Linked DNA regions of Cricetulus griseus. Each later gene encodes a partner of the first gene's protein in a complex. Links are inferred from orthologs where the notes say so. Each region holds a gene or a part of one and is shown in the gene's direction. Other genes may lie near its edges.

What was found.
Region 2: Smarcc1 (region 1) and Dpf3 share a complex: the UniProt entries of both Homo sapiens proteins name them as parts of the BAF complex. The link is inferred for Cricetulus griseus from reciprocal best matches to the Homo sapiens genes SMARCC1 and DPF3.
Region 3: Smarcc1 (region 1) and Arid2 share a complex: the UniProt entries of both Homo sapiens proteins name them as parts of the SWI/SNF-B (PBAF) chromatin remodeling complex. The link is inferred for Cricetulus griseus from reciprocal best matches to the Homo sapiens genes SMARCC1 and ARID2.

The regions. Positions count from the first base shown.
Region 1 is NC_048597.1:217,596,558-217,601,692, forward strand, and holds part of Smarcc1 (SWI/SNF complex subunit SMARCC1), read left to right. Parts: intron 1-1,593; coding exon 1,594-1,713; intron 1,714-4,639; coding exon 4,640-4,725; intron 4,726-5,135. UniProt on the Homo sapiens protein: Involved in transcriptional activation and repression of select genes by chromatin remodeling (alteration of DNA-nucleosome topology).
Region 2 is NC_048598.1:120,431,418-120,436,552, forward strand, and holds part of Dpf3 (zinc finger protein DPF3), read left to right. Parts: intron 1-1,436; coding exon 1,437-1,574; intron 1,575-5,135. UniProt on the Homo sapiens protein: Belongs to the neuron-specific chromatin remodeling complex (nBAF complex).
Region 3 is NC_048595.1:392,800,110-392,805,244, forward strand, and holds part of Arid2 (AT-rich interactive domain-containing protein 2), read left to right. Parts: coding exon 1-93; intron 94-694; coding exon 695-891; intron 892-1,254; coding exon 1,255-4,097; intron 4,098-5,135. UniProt on the Homo sapiens protein: Involved in transcriptional activation and repression of select genes by chromatin remodeling (alteration of DNA-nucleosome topology). Required for the stability of the SWI/SNF chromatin remodeling complex SWI/SNF-B (PBAF).

The DNA.
Region 1 (5,135 bases):
CCCTGTCTCTAAGGCTTTAAAGTCAGAGAGTGTTGACTTATTTTAGCATTTCTCTCCCCTCTTCCCCTTCTTCAGGGTCTCACTATGTAGCTCTGGCTGTCCTAGAACTTAGGAGACCAGGCTGGCCTCAAATTTTCACAGATCTTCCTGCTTGTCTCCTGAGTGCTAGAATAGGCGTGAGCCATCACACTGGATTCATTAAGCATTTCTATTGTATTTAACAGTGTATTTAGAACATATAAATCAATGGTTTATTTCATTGTGTGTGTGACCTTCATGTGGGTGTCCACAGAAGCCAGAAGAGGGCATCTAATTCCTTGGAACTGGAGGTAAATGAAGTTGTAAGTGACATGGTGCAGGTGCTGGGAACTCCGCTCTGGTCTTTTGGAAGAGCAGCAAGCACTCTTACCTACTGAGCCATCTCTAGCACCAGACAGAACGTTCAGTCTCAGCAGTTAATATGAAACAAATGAGACTTTGAAGGTCTCTTTTCTTTTGAGGCCAGCTTGGCCTATATAAAACTTTAGAAAAACAAATGACCCAAAACCACTGTAGCTCAGAAGCCCCAGACCTTCCTTTGTAGCCTTTGATGGTCTTCAACGCCTTCCTGCTTCCATTTTTATAGTTGTGGGATTATGAGGATGAGTCACAATAGTGGGCTCAAATACAATTTTTCAGTTTATTTTTAGTTTGTGTGTGACTGTTTTGCCTGCATACATGTCTGTGTACCAAAGTGTGCCATATAAACCAGAAGGATCATTTGGGATCATCTGGAAGTGGAGTTGCCATTGGTTCTGAGCTCCCATGTGTGTGCTGGGAGTCAAACCTAGACACTCTGGAAGAGCAGCCATGCTCTTAAGTACTGAGTCCTCTCCCTCTCCAGCCCTAATACAGGTTTTGCATTTAATTCATTAATTATGCTTTCCTAGTGTCATGAAACTGTCTCCACCATCGGTTTGTCTTTTTCTTCCTTTTTTTTTTGTTTGTTTTTCGAGACAGGGTTTCTCTGTGGCTTTGGAGGCGGTCCTGGAACTAGCTCTTGTAGACCAGGCTGGTCTGGAACTCACAGAGATCCACCTGCCTCTGCCTCCTGAGTGCTGGGATTAAAGGTGTGCACCACCACGGCCCCGCTCCAGTGTATTTTTAAAGTTTTTTCTTGTTTGGGTTTATGGGTGCTTTTCATGCATGCATGCATGTATGTATGTATGTATACCATGTGCATGTCTGGTATCCTCAGGCCAGGAGGCTGGATTTAGACATTTCTGAGCTGTCATGCAGATGCTGATAAGAGCACCTAGTCTTAACTGCTGTAGGCCTGGCTATGGTGACGCACGCCTTTAATCCTAGCACTCCGAAGGCAGAGGCAGGTAGATCTCTGTGAGTTCTAGGATAGCCAATGCTACACAAACCTTGTCTTGAAAAGAGAATAAATTAAGAAAATATGCACATGTGTGGTTTTTATGATTCTTTGCAGTGGAGAATGTGCTTCACACACCTAAAATTTGGTGCAGTGCTGTTACTTAATAGGTAGTGGGAAGTAAGGTAGCTTTCTCCCAGCTGTAGCAGGTTTGAATCCCTGTCTTTTTCTTGCAGTATGTTCATGCAGATGCTCCTACCAATAAAGCACTGGCTGGACTGGTGGTACAGCTTCTTCAGTTCCAAGAAGATGCCTTTGGGAAGCATGTCACCAACCCAGCTTTCACCAAACTACCTGTAAGTACATGAGTACAAGTTACATAGGATCTTTAGCCCCTCTCCTCTCTGTATAATAGCCCTGCCTCTGCCTCCGAGGTTCTGGGATTAAACATGTGCACCATCACTGCCTGGCTCAGCTTCTGTACTTTGAAGTGTCAACCTATGTCTGATTCCCTTGCTGTTGAAATTAGGGTGGGGTGGGGTGGACACAACTGTACAGAGAAGTATTTTGTTTAGTTTGTTTTTGAGACAGGCTGTCACATAGCCTGGGGTTGACCTGGAACTGCCTATGAATTAGAGGCGAGCTGTGAACACCTGATCCATGAGCTGGGATTATAGGCATGTGCTTATCATTCTCAGCTTGGTGGTAGAATTCTTGCCTACTATGTCTTTTAATGCTTTAGACTCTGCACCAATCATGAGGATCTAATATTTCTGTGTTAGGGTTGCCAGAGTTTCTGCTGTGCTGTGCATACTGATACTTATCTGTTAGAATCTTGTGGCAAGAGTACTTTTGTAGGGCTGGAGAGATGGCTCACAGGTTAAGAGCACTGACTGCTCTTCCAGAGGTCCTGGGTTCCTGGGTTCAGTTCCCAGCAACCACATGGTGGCTCACACCATCTGTAATGAGATCTGGTGCCTTCTGGCCTGCAGGGATACATGCAGACAGAACACTGTACATAATAAGTAAGTATTTAGAAGAAAATCTTCCTAGCCACAGAGAAACCCTGTCTTGAAGAGTACTTTTGTATTTGTTTTGGTTTTAATTTATGTGCATTGGCGTGACAGTGTTATATCCCCCTGGAAGTGGAGTCACAGACATTTGTGAGCTGCCAAGGAATTAAACTGGAGTCCTCTGGAAGAGCAGCCGGTGCTCTTAATCTCTCTAGCTCCTTATTGTTTTGCTTTTAATTAAAAAATTTAAATAGCTGGACAGTGGTGGTGCAGGTCTTTAATCAAAGCATTCAGTAGGCAAAGGCAGATCACTGATCTACAGTGCCAGCCTGATCTACAGAGTAAGTTCCAGGACAGCCAAGGCTACATAGAGAAAGAAATCTTGTCTCAAAAAGAAAAATTAATTTATTGACTTAGCGTGTGACTATGTGTGTGTGGGCATGTGCCTGCCATAGCAAGCATGTGAAGGTCAGGACTTCTTTCAGAAGTTGGTTCTTCCACCATGTCGGTCACAGGGACCAAACTCAAGTCATCAGTATTGAGAGCAAGTACCTTGACCTGCCCTGCCACCCTCTCTTTCACACAAAATAAGTGAGTATATGTATAAAAAAAGAAAATAATTACCCAGATGCCTGTCCTCAGCAGTCAGCTACCCGAGGTACTGTAATGGAGAAGCAGAGTAAAAGCACACTTGTGTGGAATTGAAGACCTTTTTTCTTTGTGGTTTTCCAACCTAGGGCTTTGTGCATACTAGGAAAGTTCTGTAACAGTTTTGTTTGACTGACTAAAGGTCAGTGTAGTTTTATACTTTAAAATTATATCAAGGCACAGTGAAGCAGCTGAGCAGATGAAAGGACTTGGCACCATGCTTAACAATCTGAGTTCTGTCTCTGGAACCTACATGGTGGAAGGAAAAACAGACTCCTTCACATTGTCTTCTCATTCATGTACATGTTTGCATTTGTGGCGCTAGCACACCCTACCCACACACAAAATAAAATTATGCAGATATTTTTGTTTTGTTTTTGTTTTTTCAGACAGGGTCTCTCTACATAACTTGACTGTCCTGGAACTCACTATGTAGACCCTAATGTCCTTAAACTCTGAGAGATTAACCTGCCTCTGCCTCCTGACTACTAGTATTAAAGGTGTGCACCGTCACTTTTGGCTAATAAATGGAAATTTAATAAGTTTCTTTTTTTTTTTTTTTTTTTTTTTTTTTTTTTTGAGATAAGGTCTTTGTATATTCCAGCCTGTCCTGGAACTCACTGGGTAGACCAGATTGGCCTTGAACTCAGATCCTACATCTGTCTCTAGTGCTGGATTTAAAATCCTGCTAGTTCTAGGACAGCCTCCAAAGCCACAGAGAAAACCTGTCTTGAAAAACAAAAAAATTCACATTCTTTTGTTATTCCTAATTATGAACGTAAGTGTTATCATCCAAAATGATATTATAAGGGACTTTATACATGGGATATTAACTCCTGGGAACCAAACCATTATTTCCTAAAAGCGTTTAGGGACTGGAGAATATTTTTAGTTATAAATCATAATTAAAAATAATTCATGGCTTAGTGCCAGTAGGACCCAGATGTATTTCTTTTCCTCTGAAAATAGAATGCAGCATTTTCTCAAATGAAAGAGATGGTTGTGAGGTTTGTAAATGAGAAAGACTTACCAAAGCAAATACATTTTTGTTGTAGTTTTGGTTTTTTTTTTTTTTTTTTTCCTTCGAGGTAGTGTTTTTCTGTGAACCATGAGATGGAGGAAGGAAGATTAAAGTTTAAATTCAATCTCAGCTACATTGCTTATTTGAGGTCAGTATGGGCTATGTGAGGCCCTGATTTAAAAAAAAATAAAAGTAGCCAGGTGCTGGAGGTGCACACCTTTTAATCCAGTTACTTGTGGTAGAGATTTCTGAGTTTGAGGCCAGGCGGCCACAGAATGAGTACCAGAACAGCTAGGGCTACACAGAAACCCTGTCTTGAAAAATACACTCAAAAAAAGTAAAAAGTAGTTCTGGGAGTCAGACCTGGTGGTTGAGGCATAGAATTGGGTTATTGAGGAGGCTGGGTAAAAGTTCAGGGTTGCCTGGGCTACAGAGTGAGTTTAAGGTTACCTGAGAACCTGAGTTAAAAAGGAGGCCTGGATGTGTAGTTCACCAGGAAGAGCGTTTATTTTAGCATGTAAGAGTCCCTGAGTTAAGTTTCAAGTATAACATGGTCTTATTGGAACCTTTATTTTTTCTTGTGCTATTTGTCACTTTTAGGCAAAATGTTTTATGGATTTCAAAGCTGGAGGCACCTTGTGTCACATTCTTGGGGCTGCTTACAAGTACAAAAATGAGCAGGGGTGGTAAGTATTAATAAGTGTGACATCATATTTTCTGTATGTAGAGAATTCTGTAAGAATATTGCGGTTAATGGTAAGGTAAGGCCTGTGTTTTAAATCAGTGTTATGTTTTCTGCCAGGTGTGGTGGTGTCTACACTTTTCATCCTAGCACTTGGGGCAGAGCCAGGCAGATCTCTGAGTCTCTAACCTAACCTCATACAAAACAAAGCAATGAGTTTCCTTTGATTTTTTTCTTACACTCAAAAATTACAACTGTTCTTATTAGGTAAATAATATATTTAGTTTTTGTGGTACTGGGAATTGAATCGAGGGCCTTGTTCATGCTACAAATGTGCTCCTTCAGTATATCCCTAACTACACACAGGGATCCACCTGCCTCTGTCTTCCTAATGCTCGGATTAAAGTCCTGTAC
Region 2 (5,135 bases), on another chromosome or scaffold:
TAAAGCTGTTGTTCTGGCTATTGCCCAAAATGAGTTACACTACTTAGATGCAGTTTGCTTAAATAAGGGACAGAGGAGATGGTGCTCTCTACTTTTGCCAAGCCCAGGAAAATCTGACAGGAAAAGACAAGCTGTGAGAAGTCCTTATGGCAGTACCAACTGCTCTTCTCATAGAGTAAGGGTCACAACCACTGAATTTGGATGCCTAGAACTGGGATTTGAACCTAGGTCTGATGCTGAAGGCCTGCTCTTCCTCACTATGAAGGGTTTATGCTCTCTGGTGCCAGTGATCTGGGAGAAGAGAGAGTCCCTCAGAACCAACCCATCATCCAGTGCTCCTGTAGAGTCTGCCAGGCTTGGCCTGCTTGTGGGGAGAGGAGGATGAACATTTGGGGGGAAAGGAGGATGAACATTTGGGGTCCTGAAGTCTCTGTTCTTGGCAACCCCATCCCTCAAAGCCTGGGGTCTGGGTTGAGTGTGGGGAGGCATGGCTGGTGGTCTGGCCGGAGGTCACTTTGCCTGCCTTTTGCTCTCTATACCCTGAGCATCCAGTGTGCGGAGTCACCCCCTATATTCTTGCCTCTAAGATGACATATTAGTGTTGCTAGTTGCCTCTTGTCTCAAGCTGTCTTATTTGAGACAGGTCTAGGGTGCCAGAGGCTAATTGGAGCATTGAGGTCACAAGCTCTTGGCTACTATAGCCACCAGGATTCCTCAGTCTCATTGTGTTTGTGGTGAGAGTAGAGCACATTTTGCTGGTATAAATCATGGGCTGATACATGGAAAATTTGCTACTTTATGCAGAGTCAGCTGCAGAACAGTAGATGGGGCACTGCAGAGGAATCCAGGAGACCTGGGTTTTGGCGGCTCTTCCACTGATGTGTTCCATGTATGTCGCTTAGGGCCTCATTTACCTCATTGGTGACTGAAGACGTTGGACTGGATAGGCTTCCAGTGATAGTTGCAAAGTTATGCTGATAATCCCCCTTCTGTGCTCAGTAAATTTGAAGTGCCTTGTTAAGGCTGGGAGTGTGGCTCAGTGATGAAGTGCTTGCCTAGCATACCTTGAGCCGTAACAAGCACACAAACAGTGCTTGCCTAAGTACTCTGTGCTGTGTGTCACTAATGAGTTAGTACTGCTATCATTCCCATTTTTATCTCTAAAGCAATGGAGACACCCAGTAGTTCACTGACTTGCCCGGGGTCTCGCAGGCAGAATAGTAGAGCTTACTCAACCCTCGATGTCTGTGCTCTTGTACCTCTTTTGAGTACACAAGCCACATGGTTACAGTAGTGTGGGTTTGAGGGTGGGAGGTACCTTTAAGGGGAAACCTGGCTCTGGTGTGGACAGCTGGGGACTGTTGCCCCAAAGAGTGAGAGAGTGACCACAAAACGTTGCTCACATTGTCCATCTTTTCTTCTCTTTTTCTCTCTAGTCTGTGGCAAACGCTACAAGAACCGGCCGGGACTCAGCTACCACTATGCTCACACTCATCTGGCCAGCGAGGAGGGAGATGAAGCCCAAGACCAGGACACTCGGTCCCCGCCCAACCACAGAAATGAGAACCACAGACGTGAGTCCCCACTTGTAATGTTGGGGAGTCAGGGATGGAGCAGGTAGCATGGGGAACAACCTTTTTCTTTCCACTCTGGTATCTTCTGGCAGTAACAACTGATGGGGCTTGGTGTTCTGCAGTAAATTGATTCCTAAACTTAGCCAGCCACCATACCTATGTCTGAGCTGAGCAATCAGCAAAGTGTAAGCAGGTCAGAACACATGTGATCAGCCTTATCTCCAGATGGATGTGGGGTGTAAAGGGGAGTGTCCTCACCTGGCCACTGTCACATGCCAGACCTGTCCATCATGTCCCTTGGCTGCAGAAGAGCCACTCGCAGCTGTTGGAGTGACTGATATTTGCTGGTTAATTGCTCTGATTTTCCTGTGTGGGTCACTACTTTGGGTACGGAGCTCTCTTGCCATCTGGATGGATACATCACTTGGGATGACAGTTGGCTCTGAAGACTCAAAGTGATCCTGCAGATTTGTTTCTATTCTTCCTCCCTTTCCTCAGTTTGTAGTTATGTCTTAGGAATCAAAAGGGGGCTAGGCATTCTCCGCTTGACTGGCTTTCTCCTAACCATTGTGGTTTCTGGGATGACCAAAGCCCCCCAAAAAGGATGTGGTCATGGAATCTGTTGAGCTTGCTTCAAGATCTGGGTCATACTGAGACCACTGGAGGGAGGGGTATTTGTGCATGTTTGTTGTGGGCTTTGTTTTGTTTATACAATTGGTTGGTATGTATTTTTAAAAACTTTTTTTCACTTAGACTTAGTGTATTATTTCATGTATATGAGCTTTTGTCTGCATGTATGTATGTTCTCTACATGCATGTGCATGTGGAACCTGCTGAAGTCAGAAGGCTGTGTTGGGTCCCTGGGACTGAAGGGCCAGATGTTTGTTAGCCCCCATGAGAGTGCTGGGAATTGAACCTGGGTCCTCTGGAAGCATGATAAGTGCTCTCAACTACTGAACTAATTTTCTAGCCCTGGGATACATTCTTAAAGCGAACAAGAATCTGACTTTTAAAAGTGACCAGATTCTAAATTTAGAGATGACACCTGTGTAGTTGAGTATCTCAGCTTGTGTGACTGATGCCAGGTGGACACTTTCATCAAATATCTGAAACCATGAGAACAAGCCCTGGCTAAGATCTTTGTTAAGTTTTGTGTGTGGTCCTCCCTGGCCTGTGCCCCATGGTCATGCTGCCACAGTGTTCTGTGGCTGGCACAACAAAATACCTTAGGTCAGGAGTCTTAAACTACAGCAACTAGTTTCTCATGGCTCTGGAGGCTGGAGAAGCCCAGGTCAAGGCTCTATCAGTGTTGGCTTCCGGATAGCCCTGTCCTGGCCTTGCAAATGGCTGTCCTCTGGCAGCTCTGCCCTCTTCTCTTGGGGTCTCTTCTTATAAGGTCACCAGGCAGACAGGATCAAGACCCACCCTAATAGCTGCATTGTGTGTGTGTGTGTGTGTGTGTGTGTGTGTGTGTGTGTGTGTGTGTGTGTCTGTCTGTCTGTCTGTCTGTCACACTTGCATGTACTCAGTTGGTTTTCACCTTAGTTTTTGAGACCACGTCTCTCACTGAACATGGAATTCACTGATTTGGCAAGACTGGCTGTGGAGACCTCCAGAGGTCGCTTGTCTCTGCCTCAGCAGCTCTGGAATTATAGGCACATGCAACTATTTCCATCTTTGTGCATGGGTGTTGCCAGGGGGTGGGGTGGGGGCATCTAAACTCAGGTCCTTATGTTTTCATGACAACCACTTTACCAGCTGAGCTGTCTCCCCAGCTCCAGTGGCCTCACTTAACAAACTTTACCTCTTCATTTACTTTTTCTCCTCCACTTCTTCTTAGGATTTATTTTCACTTTAAATCACGTGTGTATGTGTGTCCGTGTGTATGTGTACATGAGTGCAGTGCCTGTGGAGGCCAGAAGAGGGCACAAGATCATTGCTGGATTTACAGGTGGTTGTGAGCCATCCTATGTAAGCTCTGAAAACTGAGCAAGAACAGTGCACTCCCATAACCACTGAGCCGTCTGTCTCTCCAGCACTTTGATTACTTCTTTATCAATCTCTAGCTTGAATAGAACCAAATGCCAATGTACTAGAGGTTAAGCTTCAATATAGGAATTTGGATTTGGGGAAAATGCATCCTGTGACATTAATTTGTTTCCAACTTTGAGGGTTCAAGCTTTTAATGTGACAGACCCCCGTTTTCTCACCTCCTATTGCCATCTGGGCAGAATCTGGGAAGCAGAGCTGGAGGAGGAGGGTAGTGTCACTCTTTCTGCACCAGATCCTGATTATCTATGACACCCAGCTCTCTGCCTGCCCTTTGGGAGAGCCTGCCTTTTCTGTCAGTGTAGAAGCCTGTCTGTATTGAGGCAGCTGGCAATGCCAATTCCCTTTCTCTTTTCTTCTCTGGTCTAAGTGTCTAGGAAGTCACAGGAGCTGTGGCCTCCTATCAAGAAGTGGCTGGAAGTGATCTTTGGTTTTAGGTGTTATTTGGAAAGCACAGATTAGTGATTTGTTCTCTCTCCAAAGTGTCAGCTTTCTTTCTCGCTCCTCCAGTGCTAGCCTATCTCTTGCATTTCCTCAGTGCTTGGCCATTTGTTCCTGTGTACCAGCATCCTGTTTTATAGTGCTTTGATGGCTTTTCCTTTGTGCTGTGTTTTCCCCACCTCCCCTGTAGTGTCCATAGTGAGTGGTGGTTTTGCACACATGTGTATATATGTGTGTACATGTGCAAAGTCTTGGCAACAACAGTAAGCAGAAGGAGACAGTCTCCTCCCCAGCCATTCCTGTAGTCACCTCCAAGTAGACTTCCGTGACCGGCACTGTTATATTCTTTGCTCTTTTTACCAGGATCTCAAATGTGAAATTATCAGTGGGTATCTGTGTTCTCCTTAGGTGTTGTCCCTGAGAGATCACATGGGCTTGCTTAGTAAAGAAACTGTGCCTTTCCTTTTTATACATGGAGATATGTCCCATGCTTGTCTCTATCACCTGTGGGCTTGTGGGTGAGCAACATACTCCAGCTCCTCCCTGTCTTCCTTTCTTTTTCACCCTGCTGATGAGATAGATACAGGCTTCTTCACCAAGCATCATTTGACTGACCAGAAAGGAATAGCCATATGTGGGCTAATCCAGGTCCTCCTCAGACAAAGACAGTTCCAGAATCCTCAAAAACACTCCTTATTTTATTTTATTTTTTTTTTTGTGGTGTCTTCTCACAAGTTTGTTTCTGCAAACTCTGTGCCCAGCCCTAATTTCACCCACAGGGAAGTGGGTACAGCAGACAAGCTCCTGGTGTTTGGAGAAGTCACTTTCCCCCAGCCCCGGTTTCTCTGGACAAACCCAGTGGCAGCTGCTCACTCTGGCTTCTGTGGGTCATACACACTACCGATTTGCTTGCTGCTCCGAATGTGCGAGAATGTGCGCTCTGTTTCCTCCCATGTGCCCCTGGTGAGCAGGCCCCCGCCACTTTCCTGTGAGCACTAATTGCTGGCATCATTAATACCCAGTCATTAGCTGCTCTCTCTGTTTGGGGTTTGGAGTGGGCTCCCATCCACA
Region 3 (5,135 bases), on another chromosome or scaffold:
TCGAGCAGAAATGTATTCTGAGTACCTCTCAACTTGTAGTAAATTAGCTCGTGGTGGCATCCTCACATCAACTGGGTTTTACAGGTGTCTGAGGTAAAGTGACCAGCTTTTCAAAGATTCATTCATGTCAGTTGTTCTTGCATACTAGAGAAAACACCACAAGGCTGCTGACTTTTGCATCTCTACTGCTTGAACTTCCCCACACATTGGCTTTAGTTCAGTAGAGGCTCAAGTAAAGTCACTGTGTTGAGGCAGGGTTTATAATGTCTTATCAAAGAAAGAAATGTTTCTATAATGTTTATCAAAGAAAGAAAAGTAGGAAGTCAAATTCCCCTTTTTCTCCTACCTTCTTTGAAATGTTGAAGACATTATTCATTTTAAGTCTTGAATCCTAATATGTTGTTGATATGCATTTGACCAAATATGAGACCTTTGTGCTTTGCTAAATTCATAAACATACATGTTTTTAAAAACTGGTTATATATAAATTGCTTAAAACTCAACATTGTTAATAAGCAATGGTTCTTTAATTAGAGAATTAATCTTGTACATATCTATCTTTCCTCTTTTGCAGACTATGACATTGTGACTCATTGGTCAATGCATTAGTAGCAATGGCAATGCTCTGAGCATTGCTGGGGGCAGTGCTGTACTTTTGTCCTGTTTTTCATAATTAGTGTGTGTTATTTTACAGAACAGTTTTTCCAAATCATACAGTGAAGAGAGTGGAGGATTCCAATAGCAGTGGGCAGGCACATATTCATGTCATAGGAGTGAAACGGAGGGCTATACCACTCCCCATCCAGATGTACTATCAGCAACAGCCAGTTTCCACTCCTGTTGTCCGCGTTGATTCTGTTGCTGATGTGTCTCCAACACCTTCACCTGCAGGTATTAACTTTCAATTTTAATATTCATTTATTATATATGCAGTCAGGTCTTGCTGTACAAACCATGCTGGCCTCAAACTTGGGGTCCTTCTGAAAGCTGGGATTACAGACAAATGGCAGTATCCCCAAGTTTTTCAATGTTTTAAGGATTGCTAGAATGTAAATGTGTATTTTGTATATTAAGTGATGGCCTTGCCCTGTGCTGTTTACAGTGTTTCTCATGGGTGTCACCATACTCTAATGTTTCCTGTCTTTTGGGCATTAATTTCTTTACACCCTTCCTCTTGTATTAAATTAGATAATAAGACATTTGACATCTTACAGTCATTTTACTTGTAACTTTTATTTTTCCCCATATATATAGGAATCCCTCATGGATCACAAGCTGTAGGAAATCATTTTCAGAGGACTCCTGTTACCAATCAATCTTCAAATTTGACTGCAACACAAATGTCTTTTCCAGTACAAGGTGTTCATACTGTGGCACAGACTGTTTCTAGAATTCCACCAAATCCTTCAGTTCATACCCACCAGCAACAAAATGCTCCAGTGACTGTCATTCAGAATAAAGCCCCAATTCCTTGTGAAGTCGTTAAAGCAACAGTAATCCAGAATTCTCTGCCCCAGACAGCAGTTCCTGTGAGTGTTGCTCTTGGAGGAGGACCTGCACAGACTTCTGTGGTTCAGAATCATAGTACAGGGCCACAACCTGTTACAGTTGTGAATTCTCAGACATTGCTTCACCATCCATCTGTGATGCCACAACCATCTCCATTACACACAGTGGTACCGGGACAGATACCTTCAGGCACTCCTGTTACAGTAATTCAGCAAACTGTACCACAGAGTCATATATTTGGAAGAGTACAGAACATACCAGCATGTACATCTACAGTTTCACAGGGTCAACAGTTAATCACCACATCACCACAACCTATGCACACTTCATCTCAACAGACAGCAGCTGGTAGCCAGCCACAAGACGCTGTTATCATAGCACCCCCACAGTATGTAACAACTTCTGCATCCAATATTGTGTCAGCAACTTCAGTACAGAATTTCCAGGTAGCTACAGGACAGGTGGTCACCATAGCTGGTGTTCCAAGTCCACAGCCCTCCAGGGTTGGATTCCAGAACATTGCACCCAAACCACTTCCTTCTCAGCAAGTTTCATCAACAGTGGTACAGCAGCCTATTCAACAACCACAGCAGCCAACCCAGCAAAGTGTAGTGATTGTAAGCCAGCCAGCTCAGCAAGGTCAAACTTACGCACCAGCCATTCATCAAATTGTTCTTGCTAATCCGGCAGCTCTTCCAGCTGGTCAGACAGTTCAGCTAACTGGACAACCAAACATAACTCCATCTTCTTCACCATCACCTGTCCCAGCTACTAATAACCAAGTACCTACTGCCATGTCATCTTCTTCCACCATGCAATCGCAGGGACCACCTCCTACTGTCAGTCAAATGCTATCTGTGAAAAGGCAGCAACAGCAGCAGCATTCACCAGCACCTCCCACACAGCAGGTACAGGTACAAGTTCAACAGCCACAGCAAGTACAGATGCAAGTTCAGCCTCAGCAAACAAATGCAGGGGTTGCTCAGCCTGCTTCCAATGAGTCTAGTTTGATCAAACAGCTGCTGCTTCCAAAGCGGGGTCCTTCAACCCCAGGGGGTAAGCTTATCCTCCCAGCACCACAGATTCCTCCCCCTAACAATGCACGAGCTCCTAGCCCTCAGGTGGTATATCAGGTGGCCAATAACCAAGCTGCTGGTTTTGGAGTGCAGGGGCAAACTCCAGCTCAGCAACTATTGGTTGGACAGCAAAATGTTCAGTTGGTCCAAAGTGCTATGCCACCAACAGGGGGAGTGCAAACCGTGCCCATTTCGAACTTACAAATATTGCCGGGTCCACTGATCTCAAATAGCCCAGCAACCATTTTCCAAGGGACTTCTGGCAACCAGGTAACCATAACAGTTGTGCCAAATACCAGTTTTGCAACTGCGACTGTGAGTCAGGGAAATGCAGCTCAGCTCATTGCTCCAGCAGGAATTAGCATGAGTGGAGCACAGGCAGGAGCCGGACTTCAGGTGCAAACGCTTCCAGCCGGACAATCACCATGTACCACTGCTACCCCCCCATTCAAAGGCGACAAGATAATTTGCCAAAAGGAGGAGGAAGCAAAGGAAGCAACAGGTTTACATGTTCATGAACGGAAAATTGAAGTCATGGAGAATCCATCCTGCCGACGAGGAACCATAAACACCAGCAATGGGGATACAAGTGAAAGTGAAATACAGGTGGGAAGTCTTTTAAATGGGAGAAAGTACAGTGACTCGAGTCTACCTCCTTCAAACTCAGGGAAAATTCAAAGTGAGACTATTCAGTGCTCACTAATCAGTAATGGGCCATCCTTGGAATTAGGTGAGAATGGAGCATCTGGAAAACAGAACTCAGAACAAATGGACATGCAGGATATCAAAAGTGATTTGAAAAAAACCCTCGTTAATGGGATCTGTGATTTTGATAAAGGAGATGGTTCTCATTTAAGCAAAAACATTCCAAATCACAAAACTTCTAATCATGTAGGAAATGGTGAGATATCTCCAGTAGAACCACAAGGGACTTCAGATGCTACTCAGCAAGATCCTGCCAAAGGTGATGAACTAGAAAGAGTTTCTAATGGACCTGTATTAACTTTGGGTGGGTCACCGTCCACAAGCAGCATGCAGGAAGCTTCAAGTGTGGTAACACAACAATTCAGTGGTACTGACTTGTCTAACGGACCTCTAGCTTCAAGTTTGAATTCAGATGTGCCTCAGCAACGCCCAAGTGTAGTTGTTTCACCACATTCTACAACCCCTGTTATACAGGGGCATCAAATCCTAGCAGTTCCCCACTCAGGATCTAGAGTGTCCCATTCTGCCCTATCAACTGATGTTCGGTCTACAAATGGCACAGCTGAATGCAAAACTGTAAAGAGGCCAGCAGAGGATAATGATAGGGAAGCAGTCCCAGGAATTCCAAATAAAGTAGGAGTTAGAATTGTTACAATCAGTGACCCCAACAATGCTGGCTGCAGTGCAACAATGGTTGCTGTACCAGCAGGAGCGGATCCAAGCACTGTAGCTAAAGTAGCAATAGAAAGTGCTGTTCAGCAAAAGCAGCAGCATCCACCAACCTACATACAGAGTGTGGTCCCACAGGTGAGTCCTTTTGTCTTGTTTGTTTCATTGAAATGCTGTCTGGAAACATTAAATGAATCATGTCTCAACTTAAGCAGTTATGGTGTCCGCTCATGTCTACGCAAACTTCCCTGTTGTGCTCTTTATTTATTAAACAGTTTTCAGTTCTTCACTCTAGCATTCAAGGTAAGGATTTTTTTTTTTTTTCAGTTTTGTATATGCAGTTTCACCTTGCATGGTAGATGCTATTATCTATGTACCTGACAGGAATGCCCACTGAGTGTTAGAAAATTCTAAGTCCCAACTCCACATGTTGGGATTTTTCACTTACATAATGTAATGTTTAATTTTTTAAAGTTTTACTATATATGAACTTCTCAATTCATTTTGATTATATATGTCTGATTGATTTTTCCTCTTGGAGTCTGTAAGAACTCTAAATAAAATGATAGTTAATCAGACTAAATTACAGAATAACTCTAATGTTAATAAAATTTACCCTCATTTTGTGTGTTTTAATCTTCCATTATGATGATCATTACACTATTCAAAAAGGTTAGCTCAGTAACCAAGAAGAACAGTGGAGTTAGCTGGTGTTAGGACCTCACCAAGGACAATACACTAAAGCAGAACAGTGACATTAGCTAGTGTTAGGACCTCACTAAGGATGATACACTAAAGCATTTTCTCATGGATCTTGAGGAATCCTATTAACATATAATCTGTTAACACTATGGTGAAGGTGAAGACTCACCCAGGATCATTGCCCCAAGAGGTGGTACCAGGATTGAAGCCAGCTCTTAATTCATGAGCTTTGCTCTCCTGCTCGAAATATTTTCTCTCTACAACTCTAGAAAATTGTCTTTTCTCTTACATTTTAATTATTTGAACTATTGTGTATGTTAGTGTTATTAAATGATCAGTTTAGGGCACAAATAGTAAAACTCTAAGCATATTAGTTTATACAGATGGCTCAGGCCATTAAAATCATGCATTTTATTGCTGATCTGAAAAATTGTGTACTGAAGTACTAATTTGTTATGAGAACACAGTCCATTA